3 linked regions of the Lepisosteus oculatus genome follow. The protein of the gene in region 3 interacts with the protein of the main gene of each other region in a pairwise test. Links are inferred from orthologs where the notes say so. Each region holds a gene or a part of one and is shown on either strand. Other genes may lie near its edges.

What was found.
Region 1: the proteins of trip6 (region 3) and rhoq interact in a two-hybrid assay, tested with the Homo sapiens proteins (2 studies listed by BioGRID and IntAct). The two-hybrid records come from large-scale screens. The link is inferred for Lepisosteus oculatus from reciprocal best matches to the Homo sapiens genes TRIP6 and RHOQ.
Region 2: the proteins of trip6 (region 3) and ppp1r16a interact in binary tests that used the Homo sapiens proteins (3 or more experiments, as listed by UniProt). The two-hybrid records come from large-scale screens. The link is inferred for Lepisosteus oculatus from reciprocal best matches to the Homo sapiens genes TRIP6 and PPP1R16A.

The regions. Positions count from the first base shown.
Region 1 is NC_090712.1:13,380,141-13,386,547, forward strand, and holds the start of rhoq (rho-related GTP-binding protein RhoQ), read right to left. Parts: upstream 4,254-6,407; 5' UTR 3,829-4,253; coding exon 3,687-3,828; intron 3,153-3,686; coding exon 3,094-3,152; intron 1-3,093. UniProt on the Homo sapiens protein: Plasma membrane-associated small GTPase which cycles between an active GTP-bound and an inactive GDP-bound state. In active state binds to a variety of effector proteins to regulate cellular responses. Involved in epithelial cell polarization processes.
Region 2 is NC_090701.1:29,031,544-29,037,950, reverse strand, and holds the start of ppp1r16a (protein phosphatase 1 regulatory subunit 16A), read right to left. Parts: upstream 4,583-6,407; 5' UTR 4,479-4,582; intron 1-4,478. UniProt on the Homo sapiens protein: Inhibits protein phosphatase 1 activity toward phosphorylase, myosin light chain and myosin substrates.
Region 3 is NC_090698.1:9,103,924-9,110,330, forward strand, and holds the start of trip6 (thyroid receptor-interacting protein 6), read right to left. Parts: upstream 3,743-6,407; 5' UTR 3,527-3,742; intron 2,653-3,526; exon of another isoform or gene 2,564-2,652; intron 2,244-2,563; exon of another isoform or gene 1,952-2,243; intron 1,932-1,951; exon of another isoform or gene 1,141-1,931; intron 1,127-1,140; exon of another isoform or gene 939-1,126; intron 908-938; exon of another isoform or gene 574-907; intron 568-573; exon of another isoform or gene 104-567; 5' UTR 54-103; intron 27-53; exon of another isoform or gene 1-26. UniProt on the Homo sapiens protein: Relays signals from the cell surface to the nucleus to weaken adherens junction and promote actin cytoskeleton reorganization and cell invasiveness. Involved in lysophosphatidic acid-induced cell adhesion and migration.

The sequences.
Region 1 (6,407 bases), on a different chromosome or scaffold from region 3:
GTGGGTGTCTGGGAATTCCCACTGGCATGGAAAGTGTGTGTACTTGGCTTTATCTAAACCAAAAGAAAAGAGTTAATTACTCAGCTTTTTATTGCTACAACTTGTGTTAAAAATGTGTTAACACATAAGGATTATATCTTATACAATCTAAGGAGGATATGAGCTGAGTCTGCACTTAACATAGTGCAGACCTGGTTAGAGACTCTAAAAATGTGTACTTTAAAATGTCTGCAGCAGGACACTGAGCTAAGTAAGAAGTTAAAGGCATAATAATCTAATACCATGTTTGTTTTCATTGTGAGAAAAGGTGAAAGCTTGGTATTCCAACTAGGCCTCTTTAATTCTCTCTTAGCATTTTGTCTTGGCAATTCATCTGACTGTGCAGCTGTGATAAACATCTAAGGAGAACATACTGTAGGCTGGGCTCTCAAAATTTAATTAAAACCATTTAGGAAATATGGCGTGGAGATTTTCGACAGTTTCAAAAGTTTCTCAGTCTTAAGTAATGTTGAAGCCTGGTGTACCAAAATTCCATTAGTGCAAGCTGGAACAGTGCTGGAAACCAGAGCAGCAGAAACATGGACACATACACCAGAACATGTGTTTTCCAGATCTTTTGTTTCTTTAAGCACCAGTGTGCCACAGAGAATATGAAATTACTGATTAGCATGGATGTCGACTCCATGGCTTGCTTGGAGTTTAGTACACCAGTGAAGGCTGTAATGGGAAGAATGCAGCAGGACTCTGGCTGAGAAGGCTTTGGCCACATTTCCAAACCCCCGGCTCAGTTCTCCAAAACACATGGAGGTTTCACAATGTCCTTCTCTGTCTGGACAACATTGCATGACTGTGCAGCCTTTTTCCTTCAATGGCAACAAACAGACACTAAATGGTAACTCTTTGTACTATATCATTAAAAGTGACAATAAACCACAGGGACAAACCTAACATTACACACTGCAGATGATAACTCTTACATTACTTCATAAGTGTGACACTGAACATTGTGTACATTCCGTCCAATGGTATTCTCACTATCATTTAGAAACAAGCACACTGAATGGGAAGGCTTCACATGTCAGTACGACACAATTTTAATTTACATAAAACCAATCAAGATGTTAAGATGTTTCAGCTGCACAGTCACATACACATCAACTATGATGCTTCCCATGAAACTTCAAAGAGCAAAGTGATTCCAGAAAAGCGCTAGCTGTGAGGTTTGTCCTTTAATGACAGGTAAATAAGCATTCTATATACAGTAAGGTTGCACATGGGGCAAAATTATTAACTCTATCTCCTGGAAAGATTGGAGAACTGGGCTGCTGGCCTTGGGATTCTCAAGACTGTGCCTAGGAACTGCTACATGCTGCCTCTAATTATGGGAGGTTTTATTATTGCAACGTTTTTTATTCCTGCGAGAAAAAGAAGACGTAAAGCCCTATTCCGGATTCTCATACTCAACGGAGCTGACAAAAGCACACCCTTTAACTGATCAGACCTACTTGTTTCAAACACACAGTTACAAATCAGCCAGTTCTTTTAATTTATAAGTGCTAATAGCTGGTTAGCTGTACTTGGGAGATGAGGAGTTACAGTAGGCATTTGAACTTCCGTTTCTTTTGAAGAAAAGGAACTCTCTTTGGCCATACAATAAGGCTGCCACAGCTCTTAAGACTCAGCATCTGCTGAACTTCTCCATTCTCAAATAAACTGATTCAGCTAAAATGTGGTCTTTGACCAATTCTGCCTCCGAAACAGACAGTAAAATAGCAATAAGCGCACTACTGTCACTTGATTTTGCTAAACTGTAAATACTAGTATAAGTTATACTACCAATTTTCTCTGATTGTATAGTATTTGTGTTTCTTAGTTACTAAACCTCGAGCTCCAGGCACCAAAAGATTTGACACAAAATCTTTCAAAAGACCCACAGAAAACTTTCCAAGCAACCACATGACCTCCTGCCACAAGTGTGGAAGCCAGATAACAGCTGCACAGCTGCTTAGGAACAAAAAAAAAGCTCTCGTTTTAGAAGGGTATCATGTAAAATGTGTGTGCTGGCCTGTGCATGGCGTTTTCTTCCACAGCTGGTGATGACAGAGTCAAGCCCTGTCTTTACTGTCAGTCCAGCCTTTGCAATGGGAAGCCGAGGGGAATGAGCACTGAGAGGTGCAGGGAGGCACTGGGGTGGCAAAGCACTGTCAGTGCAGATACAGCTACTGGACATGTGGGAATTGCGACTTGCTACACTATGGACAGGCGATATCCTTCTCATCCGACCAGCTTCCATGCTAAATCCTTAAAATCTATACGGATTATTCCTGATTTCACTAAAGCCTTGACTGCAAAATGACTAAGTGACTGGTCCTAACTTTGAAGTGAACAGCATGCAAAAATGGAACATAACTGGGTCCCATGTCTGTGTGAGAGTAAAACAGGACACAAAAACAATCACACCTATCATGGTACTGTACGCCTGGGTTCAGTGCATTGTCAATTCACTCTTTTCTCCACAGTGCTATTTTTGTTAGTTATTTGAGTAACCCAGCAGAGATCAGTTATTCCTGTCTAGAGGGCAAGCTAAAAAAAAAGACTTCACAATTCTAGAACTGCAGGAGGAAGGCTGGAGAGGTCTCTGCACTTAGGGCACACGGTGACTCACTGGACAGAAAAGAAATTTCTTCTGTCCTCAAGACTGAAAAAAGGGAAGAATTCAAACAGCAATTCAGACTGGCCACATAACATGTCGAAATGATTTACAGCTGTGTTTAAATGCATTTCCGATTGAAATGAAAGTTATCCAATACTTAAGACACTGGATTTTCTATGCTCCTTTAAAGTCACAAAACTAATCTAAGTGAAGTATTCAGTTTTTATAAAGGGTGATACTCATCAGACATCGAGATCTAAGATTTAAGTAGGACTGCCTTCCAGTCCTTTACAACATGCATGAATGTAAAAGCAATATATCTGTACTATGACAAAAGCACCAACGAGAAAAAAATCTCTAAAAGCATATGTTCTTGATTATTCTCTTGTGGTCTTGGTAAACTGTACATCTGTATCTGCAGAGACAGAAGAGTACCGTACCTGGCCGGCGGTGTCATACAGTCCCAGCAAGTACTGTTTTCCTCCGACCGTAACGCTAACTGTAAGAAAGAAGAAACAATCATCGCTGTAGAGAGACAGAGAAAGAAAGGAGACACTGTAGAAAGCAAAGCAAGTGGTTTTAATTAGAATAACAAGATTCCACTGCAAGGCCACCATCTATGCGTCTGGGAATAGCGGCAAACTAGACTAAGAGCGGGGGGGGGGGGGGGGAGAAAAGTTTATATTTCAGTTTTTACGAATCCTTTGTACAATAACAAGCTCCTATATAAATTAATTTATTTAAAAGCATAAATACGTACAAATACATTGAGCTGTTTATTGCGCGGCGGATTTTATGTACAGTAACTAACGTCAGAACGTACGGATTCTTTCAATTACATTTCGAGACAATAAGTTATTTTATTAATAGCCGCGGCATTTAAACATCCATCTTTGATTTATATTAACAGAGCCGTCTTGCATTACAGTCTCCAGCTCTGTGTGTATCACTGGTACAGCGCGGTTGTGGTTCTGTTGCACTCCAGCTTACTGAACAATGAAATGTCTCTGGTGCTGTAAGAAAAGTCGCCTACCTGCGTAATGGTCAAAGACAGTAGGAACATACTCCTCTGGAAAAGCGTCGTTGGCATAGCTCATCAGAAGGCAAGTTTTGCCGACAGCGCCGTCTCCAACAACCACACATTTCAGCATAATCGTGCCTGTTCCATTTGCCATAATTCGCAGAAAATCAACATTTTAACCGCCCCGGTTTTCATCGGTTAAAAGGCAACGTCCTGCCGGGCAAATATTACTCCCAGTCTCGTCTGCCTGCGCTCCCTAGCAAAATAACTGAAAATGGCATTTCTCCTCCCCGGCTGCCAAATTTGGCAGTTAAGGGCTTTCCTTCCTCTTTCTGAGCCAGCACATTCACGGAGGAGAGACACACGCTGAGCACGCTCCTCCGGGCGTTTCAGCAAGCCCCGCTGTAAAGTTCCAATATGCAATGCATAGGCTTCCTTCTAACGGGTCCAAACATAACTAAAGCTCCTGTCCCCGCATGACAAACTCTGATTCGCCTGTCGCTCGATTAGTCCACTTATCCCACTCTTTTCTCCAGTCTCACTTGTAAGGGCTATGATGCCAACTCGAGAAGGCTTGCGACAGAGGCGGAGTAAGAGTCCGAGCTCAGGGACTCTGTCAAAAGTGACTCGGTTGTAGTTCAGCGAACAGCGTGAGCTGTTACCTCGCCAATATTTTCTGGCTGATACTGTACTGTATGTAGGTGTGCTGGAGGCAGACTGGCGGGGCTCCTGCTCTTGTCTGTGTCCTCGTTTTACATGCTTCCACAGACATTCAAACCTTCAAGCACAACCGACTAATTGGCCATTTATCATTTATAACCTTTCCTAGCTGCTAGACGATGTTTCCCTGAGGCCAGTCCCTTCCGAAAACTGAACTAGAATGGACACAGTGGTGTGATTTAATAATTTATGAGGAGCTATTGTGTACCAATTCTTAGTCCACAAGCATGCTTATATTTTGTAGACCTACAGTATCAAATCTTCTCATGGTAAGGTCTAATTCCCAGGGACCCATACCATGAAAATGAAAGGGCTACAGTATGCAGTGAATTATGCCATTTACATTGTATAATAAAATTAGCAGTGTAAATTATTGCAAACTTAATTTTATTATTTGTACTAATTGCTGGCATGCTTCCTGCACAAGTATCTCACCTGGGGCTGGTCCAGTCTGGGTAGATGAGGGCTCTTAGCCCCTGTTTCAGACAAGGCAACAGGCAGCTTGGTGTCAGGCAAGAGCTGTACACAGGACACCCCTGTATATCCAGCCTGGAGCATGGACTGCAGCCCCCCCTTGCGACCCCACTTTGCAGGTCCTTGTTTTGAAAGTCAGAGAACTGTTCAGTGTCTGGCTGGCCCAGTCAATGCCATTAAAATACACCAGGGCAGGCCAGCTCCAGTGGGGGTGTCAGACAGGCCCTGCGCTTTGGGAAGTATTGAGTCTTGTTCTTCGGCAGTGCCTGTCAAGATGTTGGTCCCGGTCAAAAAGGAAAGTCCTGAGTCATGATGATAATAATGAGGTTTTCTCTGCTTCCCTGCTGCACTGCAGAATGAGATATAACAGTTCAAAGTTCTGACTCCAAACCAGGATAGCCAGTACAGAGGGAGGCACAGCTGCATGTGTCCTCATTAGCTCACCTGCTGCAGAGGTCTGACCTCACCCCTGCAGGGTCACAGGACTGTCAGCACAGGGAAGCAGATTAAAAATGCAGTCAATTTGTTTTGCAGTTTAATGCAAAAACTTGCATTTGTGGTCTTGTTGTAATTATTAACCATTAAAGCGGGTTCATACTCTTTTCTTTTCTGTACAGCACGTTTGCTGTGCTCTGTTGTGTTTTATATGTGCTAGATAAAATATGACAACAGAGGCTGACTGACTAAACTTTAGGTGAGGCCTTGCCCAGGTCATATCAGATCTGGTTACTAATCTGTTTACATTCAGTGGTTAGGGCTACAGTATATTTAAGGTTTTTAACTCAAGGTCTGTATTGCACAGGGGTAATAAAATCTTTTCATTGACTATGCAGGCAATTGCCAAGCATTGTATGCAGATATAGTTCTGTCAGCTGCAAATGACCACACCAGTAAGGCATAAGCACACAAGTTCGAGAAATTAATTTGAAAAATGTTTGCTCAATTACACGATGAAAAAAATAAAGAGAAGACGCACTGTACGCGTTTGCTGTAAACTTTGTCGATGGTCCCTAAAAGGCTGATGGAAACCTAATCAGCTGGGAGTGGGCAGAGCTCCCCAGAGCTGGTAAGCTGGCTGGGGACGCGCTGTTATGTTTTAGTAATGGTATCACTTTTGACAGATGCTGCAGCAGTCACGTGATTAAACAATGACCTCATACTTTTCTCTCTACCTGCCGAGCGTATCGCTGAGATTCTGAAGTCCCGGTTGTACAGTAGCTCACTCAGCACGCCAGGCTGGAACAACTGCAAGCGAGCACGGATGGGAAATGTGTACAGTATCTACCAGGATTGAAATAACCGATACCGCGGTCTCCGCTATTTACGGTGCAAGTGTATTTCTAGAAGCAAATTCTCTTTAAAGACCGAAGTTAAAATTAGTCAGAATAAGAGCTCGCTGTATTTTTTGACATAAGATATCTCCTATCGCCAGTCTATTTCAGATTTAATCTCTTTTAAAGATGAAGCCCATGAATTATAGGACCACTAACTTTTCCCTTGTGGTCGAGCTAGTGATTTATGGCAACGAAAGTTGCAAAA
Region 2 (6,407 bases), on a different chromosome or scaffold from region 3:
GGAGGAAGCAGGCCCAAACTGAGGGGAAAAACAGGAAGGCTGGGAACTACAAACAGGACAGCCCGGCCTTCAGGTGCCAGGACTATTCAGCTCCAAAAGGAGGAAGGAAAAATTGTCGTCTTCCTTTCTTTCTTTATAAACTGGAACTGCCCAGCATGGAAATAATATCTGCTGCTCCTAACAGAAGTATATATTTTTTTCCAAGCCCTAACCCATTATCATTAATGTTATGAGAGCACATGTTCCGACACATCCAGCCTTCCTCCACATAAAGCCAATTATGTGGAGGAATAAATAAAGCTAAAGCAAATTTGAGTGTTATACAGGGAGTTATTTTTAAGATTCTCTATTACCCTGTTAGACAGAGTATCTGAAGGGGCTTTGAACACTGCAAATTCAAAACGATTTATTGATGCAATCAAAGTGTCAACAACAAACAATTAACAAAACGTTACACATATTTATTTCAGACACTCATTACCTTGACAAAGGTGTGGCACAAACATTTACTGCCACTTCTTCAAAATACCGCTTCCAATAACATCTAAACTGTACAGAGTCGCATCACATAACTCTTATGATGCTAATCATAGCAACACACTATAAAAGCTGCACAACAGATTTCCTATCAGTTTATCAGCCTGTTTCCATTGGTGTGCTGCCCTGAGTGACCTCTTGAGAAAGAGCTGCGCTCCCTATATTGGGGGAAATAAAACAGCACAGGATACAATGATAGCCATTCTCCTGATTGTGCCACTCCCCAAAACACACCTTCAGCGCTGGCCCCTGGCTGACCCCCTCCTGCTTTCAGTGCTGGGGTCACTGAAAGGTCGCTCTCGGCTCTGTTTTGTGTCACCACCACAGCCACCCCATCCAGGAGCGTTTTCTTGCCTTTCACTGCAAAACCCTTAAGCATTATATCACGCCGACACACGCCGAACAGCATCTTATAAGTTCTCACCCAGCCACAAAGGGAAAGAGTTCAGCAAGAGCACATACCTATTTTATGTTTAAACTTTGGAGTTGATGTGCATCTCTAACAATCATTTAATAATATAGTTGGAGTTACTTGTCAGCTATAATTCACAGTGCACAAACTGCAAATGTTTTAAATATCAGACTGAATCTGAAACACTTTTTACAGAGAGCTTTTCTGTAATCCAACAAAGCTCACAACACATATTGTGTGGGTCTGCTTGGACCTTTCTGTGAGTTTACGTCTGCTGAAGGATTCCACAAATCATTCATATTTGGTGGAAGAAATCCAATGTGACTTCCTCACTGACCTTTGCCTAGTACAAGTCGTATTTCTGCTGGAGTAATGATACAGATGCCCTTTGATAACAGTGTCTCCTGTTTGTTTTGCCTTTTAAAACAGTCAAGTTCTCCCTCTCGGACTGTGGGAACGGAGCCCAGATAACCACAGAATATCTTACAGTTCAGACTGGAATCATTGGCAGGGACAAATGGCCCCTGATTGACCGAGCAAAGAATAAAACAAGAAAAATGAAACTAATCACAAAATAAAAATACAGAGAATGAGAGAGCAGGAGAAAGATACAGAGGTATGTTTAGAATATATCTTTGCATAGTTTTGCCTGTTTCCTTTCAAAAGACTTACTGATTTTCTTAATATTTGACTCTGTGCTTCACGGAACAAAGGTACTGTACATGCTTCTACAATGCTGTTTAACAGCAAAGTTTAAGAAATGAGCTATACTGAAATGTATCACCTGAGACAGGGATATAGGCATCTAGATATGCTTATCTATTTAGCTGAGTGTCAGTTCACTTTTGAAATCAGCTCAATTCTTATTGGTTCGCTTGCTAATTATAGTTTTACTGTAAGTCCTTTGGTATCAGGCCTTGTGATATGGTAATCAGCATGAGCAGGTGCTCCTTTAAAACTGCATTCACAGAAACATGAAAGAGAGATCTGAGAGGAGATCCATTAGGCCCAGATCCTACAAACCTCAACAAACGTCTTGTAGCAGTGTATTGAAAACCAGGCAATACAGCTGTGCCAACAAAACTCATTGAAAGACTTTTCCATTACAAATGATGGCTTTAAAACTGTACAAGGTACCTGGAATTGATATGAGCTTTAAAACAAATTGTGACAGACTGTATCTGCATCATGTGTGCACTGGGTAAAAGATTTCCCTTCACCCGAAACACTGTGAAGTAGGTTAAGCCTGTGGTTAATATTTGTATAAACCATTTTTCCCCTCTGGCTTTCTAACAGTTTTGCACACAATTAAGTCACAATGCCAGGAAAGCTCTCAGGCTGAGGCAGGTGGACTTTAATCCAGGTCATGTGAGCTGAGGCATTCAGAGCCTCAGTGACAGCACAAAACCTGCACAGCCGGCAAGCTGCAGAGAAACCCAGAGAAACAGTTAAAACAATGCTCAAAACTTTTTGCTGAACTGCAAAATTTGTTCCACCTGCACACCGATTCCAAATGAACACTCTATAAGTTTCTAGAATCCATGACAAGTATAATCCTGCATATAAAATAATTTCCAAATATATGTGCCTTTTAAACTCATCACAATCTATGCTCATCACAGGGCACTCTGGTTTAAGGTTTTGGTAAAAACTTGACTCTCCCAAAAACAAATTTCCTACCATCTTCACTGAACTGGACCCAAACTGTCACAGGGACAAACAACAAGCGCTGGGACATGCCGACTCCTTTTTGATCTTCCATTTTTGAAAGTGTAAAAATTCACCTGTTGAGCCCTTCCCCCCATTGTACTCTCTGGTGGTGTCCCTGCAAGTGTTGGTCTGTCTAGGAGGCAATCAGCCACCCTGACCTTTGTTACATTATAAGGCTTTGCTTGCTCAGCGAGCCCAGGATCTCATGCAGACACATCATTTGGAGACAATTAAATGTACAACACGCATCCTAGCGATGTGTTTTCCCCTCTTGTTCACTGTCTTACTCGGCTATCTGTGTGTGCAGGGGAAACGTGACATTTCCAACTCCACTACTTTCTTCTTCTCAGACTTTCAGCCAGCCGTTGCCATTTTCTAATCGTGTGTCCATCTCTGTGGATCCGAGCCCATATTTTGACACTCTTTCTGAAGTAGTTTTTGCATATTGGAGACAGTCTCAATCGGCACAAACAGAATTCGATCCAATTTTAGGAAATGAGAAGCAAGTTCCATTGCTGACTAAACAGCACCAGGAAACTCCCACTGTATTTCACTGCGGCCATACAGCAGAAGTCAAAAATGGCCCTGAAACACGCATGAACACACACACTCAAAGAACACGGAACAAAGCAGCGTTAGGTCATAAATGTAAAGTAGCATAAAATTGCAGCTCAATTACTTTACAAGAATGCATGAAATTGCTGAATTGGAAGGAGTGCTCAAAGATGATGCTGTCCCTGGCAGGAGGCCCAGCACAGCAGTGTGAAGAGAGTAAGGAGAGGGAGCTGCTGGTGTATCTCGAGCAATGCGTCAGTCAGGGAGAGTGTCCCTCAGTCAGCAGTCTCTCTGTGCCAGCCATTCATTCAGTCAGCGTGCTGCATTTGCCAGTATCCAATCAGTTCTGTCAGTCAGCGTGCTAAGGAACAGTCTTATACAGTTGATAAAGTGTCCGTGCTACCAGTTTAGAGATAGGGAATACCGTACAGTACTGTATCTGAGACCGCTGTTATTGTAACCTTTACTTTTCCTGACCCTTATCATTTGAACTTTCGGTCTTTAAAACCATAGTCACGTCAGGTTAATTACTGTATATGATGTTCACTCACTGCTCCCTCAGCATATAGAAATCCGACCTTAATAGGCTACTACGGCTGAGCCTCTGGGTTGTAAAAAGTTTTAAAAAATGATAGTACTTACAAAAACAGCACGCTGCTCTCTCTTGTAGGACAGAAGAAGACAATGTCAGGTCACTGTGATGACAGAGACTTAATTACAGCACCATTTTAATTGTTCAGTCTGGACAGAAACCGCGGTTCTGTTAGAGCATGAAATAGGCTTTCCCTGTCTCTCTCTACAGGTTAAATGAAGCGAACTCGCACCCACCACGTCTCTCAGCATCTCTCCAACAATAGTAAAAGTGAGAGACTAAAAGCAACCCTGACACACGCTAGACACGTCAGGCCAGTATCAAGATCCCAGAGCCGCCTGTTGCGCTGCTTGAGAAACTCCCATAAGAAAACGAAAAGGGCAACTCTTCACACCCCTGCAGAAAACGAGTGCAAAGCAACGCCTACCCGATTCCGACACAACCTAGCCTTTTGGAGAAAGAGACAGAACAGCTATGGAGTCAGCCCCGTGAACTCAGCCGCCACGGCGAGGTGAGCGGTGCTGCCTGCCACTGACATCGTGTTGCTGCTGAACTTCCCGCAACTACGCCGCCGCTTCGCCTGGCTTTGCTCCGAATTCGAAGTAGCTCCGATAAGCCATTGAAAACAGTACAAGGCATGAAAGAAACAAAATCAAACGATGATCGACCTACCTGTTGAAGGAGCCGCTGTCACAGCTTCCTCACTTTTCCCATTCGTGCTTCCCGTCCTCGCTCTCTCGCTCTATTTTCCAGTTCCTCTCTCTCTCTTTCTATCCCTCAGGGGAAATGCTTCTCCATAACAACCGTTCTCGTTTCCGGACCTTTTCCTGACGACATCAAGCGGCGACCGGGAACAGCTCAGCGGTATGGGACGTTTTTTCGAAGGCGCAGAATGGATAAATAGAAAATAATTATATACAGTAGTAATAAATATAACAAATATTAATAAAGTTTAGAGTATTTTGTACAGCAATCATCGGATAATGAGGTTACAATTCGAACTAACGTAAAATCCAGAAAAACAGTTTAGATGCGTCTGTAGGAATTGGAAGTTTGTGAAAAATCAATATTTTCTCATAAACGGATAAAAACAAAACTCAGGCGGTCACAGACAACTGGTAAATCAACAAGAAACTCCCTGAGCAAGCTTACACGAAGAAATATAAAAATTCAAACGGTTTAAGTGAGCAGAGGGAGAGTTTACCGTTACAAAGTACTGTGAGGATCGCAGTAAATCGGTTATGAAGGAGAAGCCCTTGGCGTCGGCATGTCTTTTTCTGTATTTGTATTCGGTATTTGTGAAATAAGAGTAACATCAAGAATAATGACGAGTGACTGCCTACTAAACCACGGGTAGTCAACCTTGACAACTGGAATTCTTGGCATTACAGCATTTTGAGCCTGGGGGGAATTGATCCTTAATTAATTTACCAGAAAATTAAAGATAAAATGGAGTAAAATCCTGGAGTGGCTGATAATCTAGGGTGCCAAAGTTAACTACCCCTGGCCTAAACTGTCAAAAGGCTGGACCAAAATTTCCACCCCCGTTCCCCAGAATAGTGAGCAGAGATACAGGGTTGAAGCAGGTTCTTTCTCTGGAAGGGACGTTAAACTGAAGCCCTTACTATTTGGTAAAGATCCTATTGCAGTATTCATATGTTTAGGGATGTTAACAATATCCTGACTGAATTCCACTTAGTGCCTGCACACTTTGACCTCCTTCAGTTTCACTCTTCTACCTCCTCTTCATGGAGAGTAAGCTGGGGTATTCGAAGAAAAATTCTTAATGCAATAAATTGTATAGGGCTAATAAAGTGATGTTATGTTATGTTATGTTATGTTATGTTACCTTATCTGCAGCTGCTGTCATATAATGGCTGACATGTGTCATCTAATTGGGAGCTACACAAAATCAGTCTACTATTGACAGAAAACAAAAGTCTGTATGAGACTGTTAATATTCTGTTTCCAGCCCTCTCCAGTATGTAATGTTCAATAGGGATCCACATTTTGTTGGTTTATTACCAGTTTAAACTACAATTACAGGAAACTTGTATTATAGCATTAACATGATAATACAAGTTAAGGGAATCGGGATGCTTACTGCAGTAGCTGAGCACACTACAGACCACAGGGGGAGCTCACTGTACAGGAATCAGCCTGCCTATGGTCCATAAGCAGTTCTTCGTGTTTTGATGAGCTGAGTGAAGGAGGCTGAAAACACAATTTCTGACTAAATATATTGTCCATTATATAAGAAAGATTACTGCAAGGATGACTGCAGGATACCTGATCTGGCATTTTTCTAGAAAAATATGAAATGATCCTGCCCACAAATTGTTTGCAACCTGTGTGAAACTTCATTGCCACAGTCTAGACAAACTGAGTTCTTTAGTTTCCTTTGGACGCATTAACAAGCACATTAAAAATGAATTTCCCCCAGAAAGAGGGTATCAGCTCTAAAAACTAACCCTACAGCCTCACTCCCTCGGCTCCATACAGTCTCCCATGCTGCTTTGATCAAACATTTGTTACACACAAAACACACATCATGTTTTGACATTACAGGAAAAATACTTTGTTCTAAGATAAATATATACA
Region 3 (6,407 bases):
AAGCGTTTCTGCTAACCAGCCGTAACAACAGTTAATCATTTTGAAAGTCTTACCTTAAAAAACAAGTCCCTCCTTTTCGTTCTCCGACTTCTTTATTATTTCTCTGCAAAAGAAAGATATACACGATATTGCCTCCTCTGTCTTTCAATCATTTGGGTCAACATGAAAAAGCTTTCAATAGGGCAGTTATTCGGTGTTTTTGGATCAGCTAGTTTGCATTTGCATTGCCCGATTCCAATAAACTGATTTAGTTTTTGAAGTGCATTGTTTATTCATAACTGACCAAGACTAGATGTTGGATTTTTTTAAAAAAAAGAGCGATTTCCCCCCACATGACAAGTTAAGATCAGCAACTTACTAAACGCCAATTCTAAAACGAGTTTTATTTTCCCCGGCACGTTTCACTAAACGTTCTCCAGACACTAACCCGACACCTACTCCGTCTTATCGTTTTTCAACCGCAGGGCTTACAATATAAACGATATAAATAAAACTTCTCTCCTTTTTTTTCTACCCCGACTTTGAAAGTTTTTTTAAGGATCCTGCCTCTACTTTCCAGGCCTATTTCGTCACCGTTTTCCAATTGCGTCACCGCCCTGAGACGTGGTTCTGTGGTCGAGATGGGTTGCTACTCTGGACACTGACAGGCCGAGGGTGTAGCTGCCCCGTGCGCCAAAAATGAGCTTTACATAGAAGAAAGAAATTCATAAACAGGCTTAAGTTTTTTTTTTTTGTAGCATCATGAAGGATATAACCGAAGCCATATAGGGTGTTAAACCGAACTGAATAGCTATATACGATTATACTTTATTGCCCGATTTATCAGAAAATTGTTTTGAAGGCATGGGATGTTTTACAAACAGAGAGGCTTACAAAAAAACATACAAACACTACACGAAAAATCAATATAACATGACATAAAAGACGTCAACCCATACATCAGTCATTACACGTCCTTCCCACCGGATTTTGCAAAGCTTACGAGAACCTGTCAGCTTCCTGGCCCACGATCACCCTGAGCCTCGATAACTGCACACTCCCTCCTCACTGAGCACACACCACTCATCGCACTCGCCCAAAGACCAACGCTCCGTTATTGATCGAGTCCTCTGAATCTGGGGAAAAGGCATGGCTCATTACGTTAGGCCCGCCGTGGGGGAGGCGGGACTCTTCATGCAGAACAAGCGAGGGGTCAGAGGAGACCCCAGCAGCCGGTCCCTGTGCACCCCGGGTGTAAGCAGCTCCAGAGCTCTGCTCTCGGGGCCGCCCTGCTGACTGAGAGCACGTCCTGCCAAGTCTGGACATCTCCGCCTTTTGTTGCACAGACCGACTGTTATACCAGACGATTATTCGACACACTCTGTTCACACAAAATCTGACAACTGGTACAATAACAAATTGCAAACTGTGGAGCAAGTAAATTTGCTGTTGTACTTTATCGCAAGTATAGTTAACATGTATTTTCAAAGACAGATTGTGATCTACGTATATTCTCTGATATAAACAGTCCTGGGAGCACCAGTAACCCAGCCGCTGACGACTCGTTTACTCCATTGTCACCATGAAATAAACGCGAAACCATCTGCAATATCACCTCATTAAAATAGGTCTGAACCTCACAAGATCGAACCGCTGAACCCCAAATTAACTGTGTGTGTGTTTTACAGAAAAGGTGGATGAATTAGCACCTGTTACAGAACTTGAATATTACAGCTTTGAAAATGCGCCATTGACAGTTCCGTCAACTGCAATATGGCTCAGTATTTCTAAACGTTTTGCAAGAGAACCCTTGTTCTTCTAAATCCCTTGATCCTTCACGATTGTGAATTAGCACTGTCAGGAGTTTGTTTCTAATTTATAGTACTAAAAACCAAGGGTTTTGCTTAAAATCTGTTTACTTCTTCTTATGGGGGAAAAAGGCGTCTTTTGGATATCATGTGTGGATACCAACCAGGTGAATCCAGGTGAAATTAAATTTCGATGATATTGCTGGAAGCCGCACACGCCGGTTGACTAGTCATTACGAGAACAAGAAGAGAAATCTATCTGCTTACTTTCACCTTCCCCACGGCGAGCGCACACACACACAAACCACCACACAACCCACGCTTCACTAAAAATACACTGACACCCAAGTTCCGTAGTACCAAGATCCAAAATTTCCCCGAAAGACCCCCGAACTGTACGAGAAACGCCAGCCGACCCCCGAATAAAAGCACTGAGAGTTTAAAATTACATCAACCTCTGCCAACACGCTTCTGAGAAATTGCGCTGAGATCAGCGTGTTTACCCGGGGAGGGACATGTGACATTCATTTTAAGCAGGTTGTACTACACAAAGTGAAGAGAGGGGTGCTTAAGGGTGAAGGGGATTAAGAAACTTTCCCCGAAATATACTTGTCTTTTGCCGATAGGCGTGAGTCGCTTTCAATTCAGCTATTATTACAAACTTTGGGTGAAAATGAAAAACAGAAACACTTTAACGCTGATCTGCCGTGACAAGAAAGTAGGGGCACCCCTACGGCTGGCGAGAGTGTGACGCGCCGCTACTTGGGTTCTCAGAATTGAGCTCTTGCTGTTTCTTGGAATATTATTTCCTCAAAAGCCGGCGAGGCAGCTGGTTCTAGGAATTTAGGCCACGCTGTTTAACCAGGTGATGTATCACTCCGTCTCTGTCTATATAACATGCCCTGTCGCTTTGCTGTAGTCCTTGAAAAACACATCTTGGGAGAACGCAACGAGCTGAACTGGGGAGCATTTTTTTTGTTACAGTTCCAACTATTGGAGAGGACAGAATTGAAATCAGTTTTTCGAAGTTTATTTGAATGTCTCTTACTTTTTTTGTTAATGATGCTGCTGTGTGTTTGTGGGGAATCCGGCGGTTTAGAAAACGTCACAACTCTCAAGTTTGTTACCAGACTTGTTTCTGTTGCTAATCTCGAGTGGTTAAATGTGAGAAGGCGGGTGTCCTTCATTAATTGTTTTTACCTAAAATATTCTGGCTGCCGCTGAGAAATACACAGAACTTATTTTTAATTTCTTTTGTCATTTTTGTCATTCTGACGTTGTGTAATTTTTTTGCGAAACGCTTGTTACGTTTTCAGTGACGCTTTTGGACGTCCATGCAAGATGTGGTCTTTGCAAGAGGAATACAGTAGAGTCAGGTGCATGTCTGCCTGGGTGATTTATATATTTAGATTACTGGGCTTTGATGCGTTTTTCAACAGAAAGGGTGGCCCTGTACATAAACATAGACTTGTTTACACCTTTCCGAGGGCATTGACATACGAAACGTTTTATTCTTTTTTTATTTCTTATGTCCGGGCTTCTAAGATGAGCTAGGAGTCTGTGTTTACTTAGTCCTATATCTTTTTCACAAATCGTTCCCGTTTACCTGCCTTGAGTCGAGACCGTAAGGTTGCTCCGAGCTAATCGTCTGTGCGACTTTATCCCTGTCTCGGTCCCTCTCTGCTCGCGTTGCTCACGGTATTTACAGCAATCAGACGACATTGCGAAAGCGCACTGACCTCAGATACTCTTTGCACAGCCGCGTCTCTCCGATCTGGAAGACCGCCAAGCGCGCCGGAGCGCCCGGCCTCCTTGTGAGATTGTAGCGGAGAGTGTGAGGAGGCGCTTGTATCTTTTGTACCGCAGACTGCCGATCGCGCACTGAAAAAACCACGGAGCTACTGGAAACGACGCCACTGAACTGACAAGCCGTGTTACAAAAACAAAATCTTTATTTTTGGCAGTGTAACTTCGCCACGGCTCGGTGTAATTGGTCTTCCCCCCCCCCCCACTCGTCTTGGAGTTTACTCCCACACTGCAGTCCAGCAGTCGCAAAATATGCAGCAGCTGCTGAATCTTTAAAACTGAATTAACCACTGAACTACTGAACACATTGCAGCCCGGCGCTCTCACACTGTGCCACTGAACACACTGTAGCCTGGCACCCTAACACTGAACACACTGCAGCCCGGCACTCTCACACTGTGACACTGAACACACTGTGGCGCGGCACTCTCACACTGTGACACTGAACACACTGCAGCCCGGCACTGTGATACTGAACACACTGCAGCCTGGCACTCTGTCACTGAGATACTGAACACACTGCAGCCTGGCACTCTGACACTGAATACACTGCGGCGTGGCACTCTCACACTGAGACACTGAACACACTGCGGCACGGCACTCTGACACCGAGACACTGAACACACTGAAGCCTGGCACTCTGACACTGAACACACTGCAGCCCGGCACTCTCATACTGTGACACTGAATACACTGCAGCCCGGCACTCTGACACTGAGACACTGAACACACTGCAGCCCGGCACTCTGACACTGAGACACTGAACACACTGCAGCCTGGCACTCTCGCACTGAGACACTGAACACACTGCAGCCTGGCACTCGGACACTGCGACACTGAACACATTGCAGCCCAGCACTGAGACACTGAACACATTGCAGCCCAGCACTGAGACACTGAACACACTGCAGCCCGGCACCGAGACACTGAACACACTGAAGCCTGGCACTCTGACACTGAACACACTGCAGCCCGGCACTCTCATACTGTGACACTGAATACACTGCAGCCCGGCACCCTGACACTGAGACACTGAACACACTGCAGCCTGGCACTCTCGCACTGAGACACTGAACACACTGCAGCCTGGCACTCTGACACTGTGACACTGAACACATTGCAGCCCAGCACTGAGACACTGAACACACTTCAGCCCAGCACTCTGATACTGTTACACTGAACACACTGCAGCCCGGCACTCTGAGACTGAGACACTGAATACACTGCAGCCTGGCACTCGGACACTGCGACACTGAACACATTGCAGCCCGGCACTGAGACACTGAACACATTGCAGCCCAGCACTGAGACAAACACACTGCAGCTCGGCATTCTGACACTGTTACACTGAACACACTGCAGCCCGGCACTGATACACTGAACACACTGCAGCCCAGCACTCTGACACTGCGACACTGAACACAATGCAGCCTGGCACACTCCCAGTCCCTCAGCTCTGACCCCCAGTGCCTCACTCCCAGTCCCTCAGCTCTGACCCCCAGTGCCTCACTCCCAGTCCCTCAGCTCTGACCCCCGGTGCCTCACTCCCAGTCCCTCAGCTCTGACCCCCAGTGCCTCACTCCCAGTCCCTCAGCTCTGACCCCCAGTGCCTCACTCCCAGTCCCTCAGCTCTGACCCCCAGTGCCTCACTCCCAGTCCCTCAGCTCTGACCCCCAGTGCCTCACTCCCAGTCCAGCTTCAGCCCTGCTCTGCAGACCTGCTCTCCCTCCTTTCCTTCCCAGTCTCCGCCTCTGCGCCTCTCCAGCCCTGCTGGCCAGCGCTCTCTCCCTGTGCCACCTGCTGAGGAAGTGACTCAGGAGGAGATGACTTTCCTGTCTTTCATGCAGAGGACGGATGCCGTTGCCAAGGAAGAGTCGCGTTCGTGTTTTTTTGCGAATGTTTTGTTTTTGTTTTTTTTTTCCATTTTTCCGAAACAAAAGTAGATCTCCGTCCTCTCCTCCTCCCCTTTCCCCTTTCTCCCTTGTGGAATCGCTTCCCCGTCTCGCCTTATAAGTACAAAATCCAGATCAGGAAGCCGTGTAAAGGGAAATTCTGCTTATTTGGTTTGTTTATCCGAGTGCTTTGCTCCGGTTGTAGCTGAAATCCTGGAAGAGACCTACGCTGGGCTCAGGCGGTCTGCCTCGGGCTGTGGTGGTCCGCAGTCAGCCCTGGTGGGCAAAGGGGTCAGAAGATTCGACTCTGGATATGTGGCATGTTGTGTGTCCTCCACATGCATGGCTGTAATGTCAGGTCACAGAGTGGCAGGATGGTTAACGGCACCCTTTCACACCTGCAAGGTTCTGGGTACAAGTGCCCAGGCCACCCTTCTGTGTGGAGCTTGCATGTTCTTGCTAGATTTGTGTTGGAGGTTTGGGGGGGGGTGGTATAGAGCTCCAATCTTCCAAAGACATGCGGTCAAAGAACCCCCCCCCCCCCCAGATTTATCCCTATCAGAAAAACAGCTGGTTTCTCCTCCTTATCAACTGTGTCCACACGGGACAGTGTAGAGAAAAGGGGTACAGGACATAGGCCTGTGAGCTCACACTGGCCTCGGGAAGGTGTCACCTGAGTGCCAGTTCTAGGTCATAGTGCGGCGCAGCGCAAACAGCTCTGATTGGTGGGTGTGTCAGAGGAGACCATTTGACCTGGTCGTTTGTGATCGTGAGCTCCGTGTCCATGGCCTTGGTCAGGTCGGGCATTTAAATGATGGATGCTATAAAAGAACACACTTCCCAAAATTGACCTCGGGTCCGATAGACCGGACTGTCCAGCTCTAACTGGGATTCTCCCCAGCAAAGGGCCAGCCGGCACCAT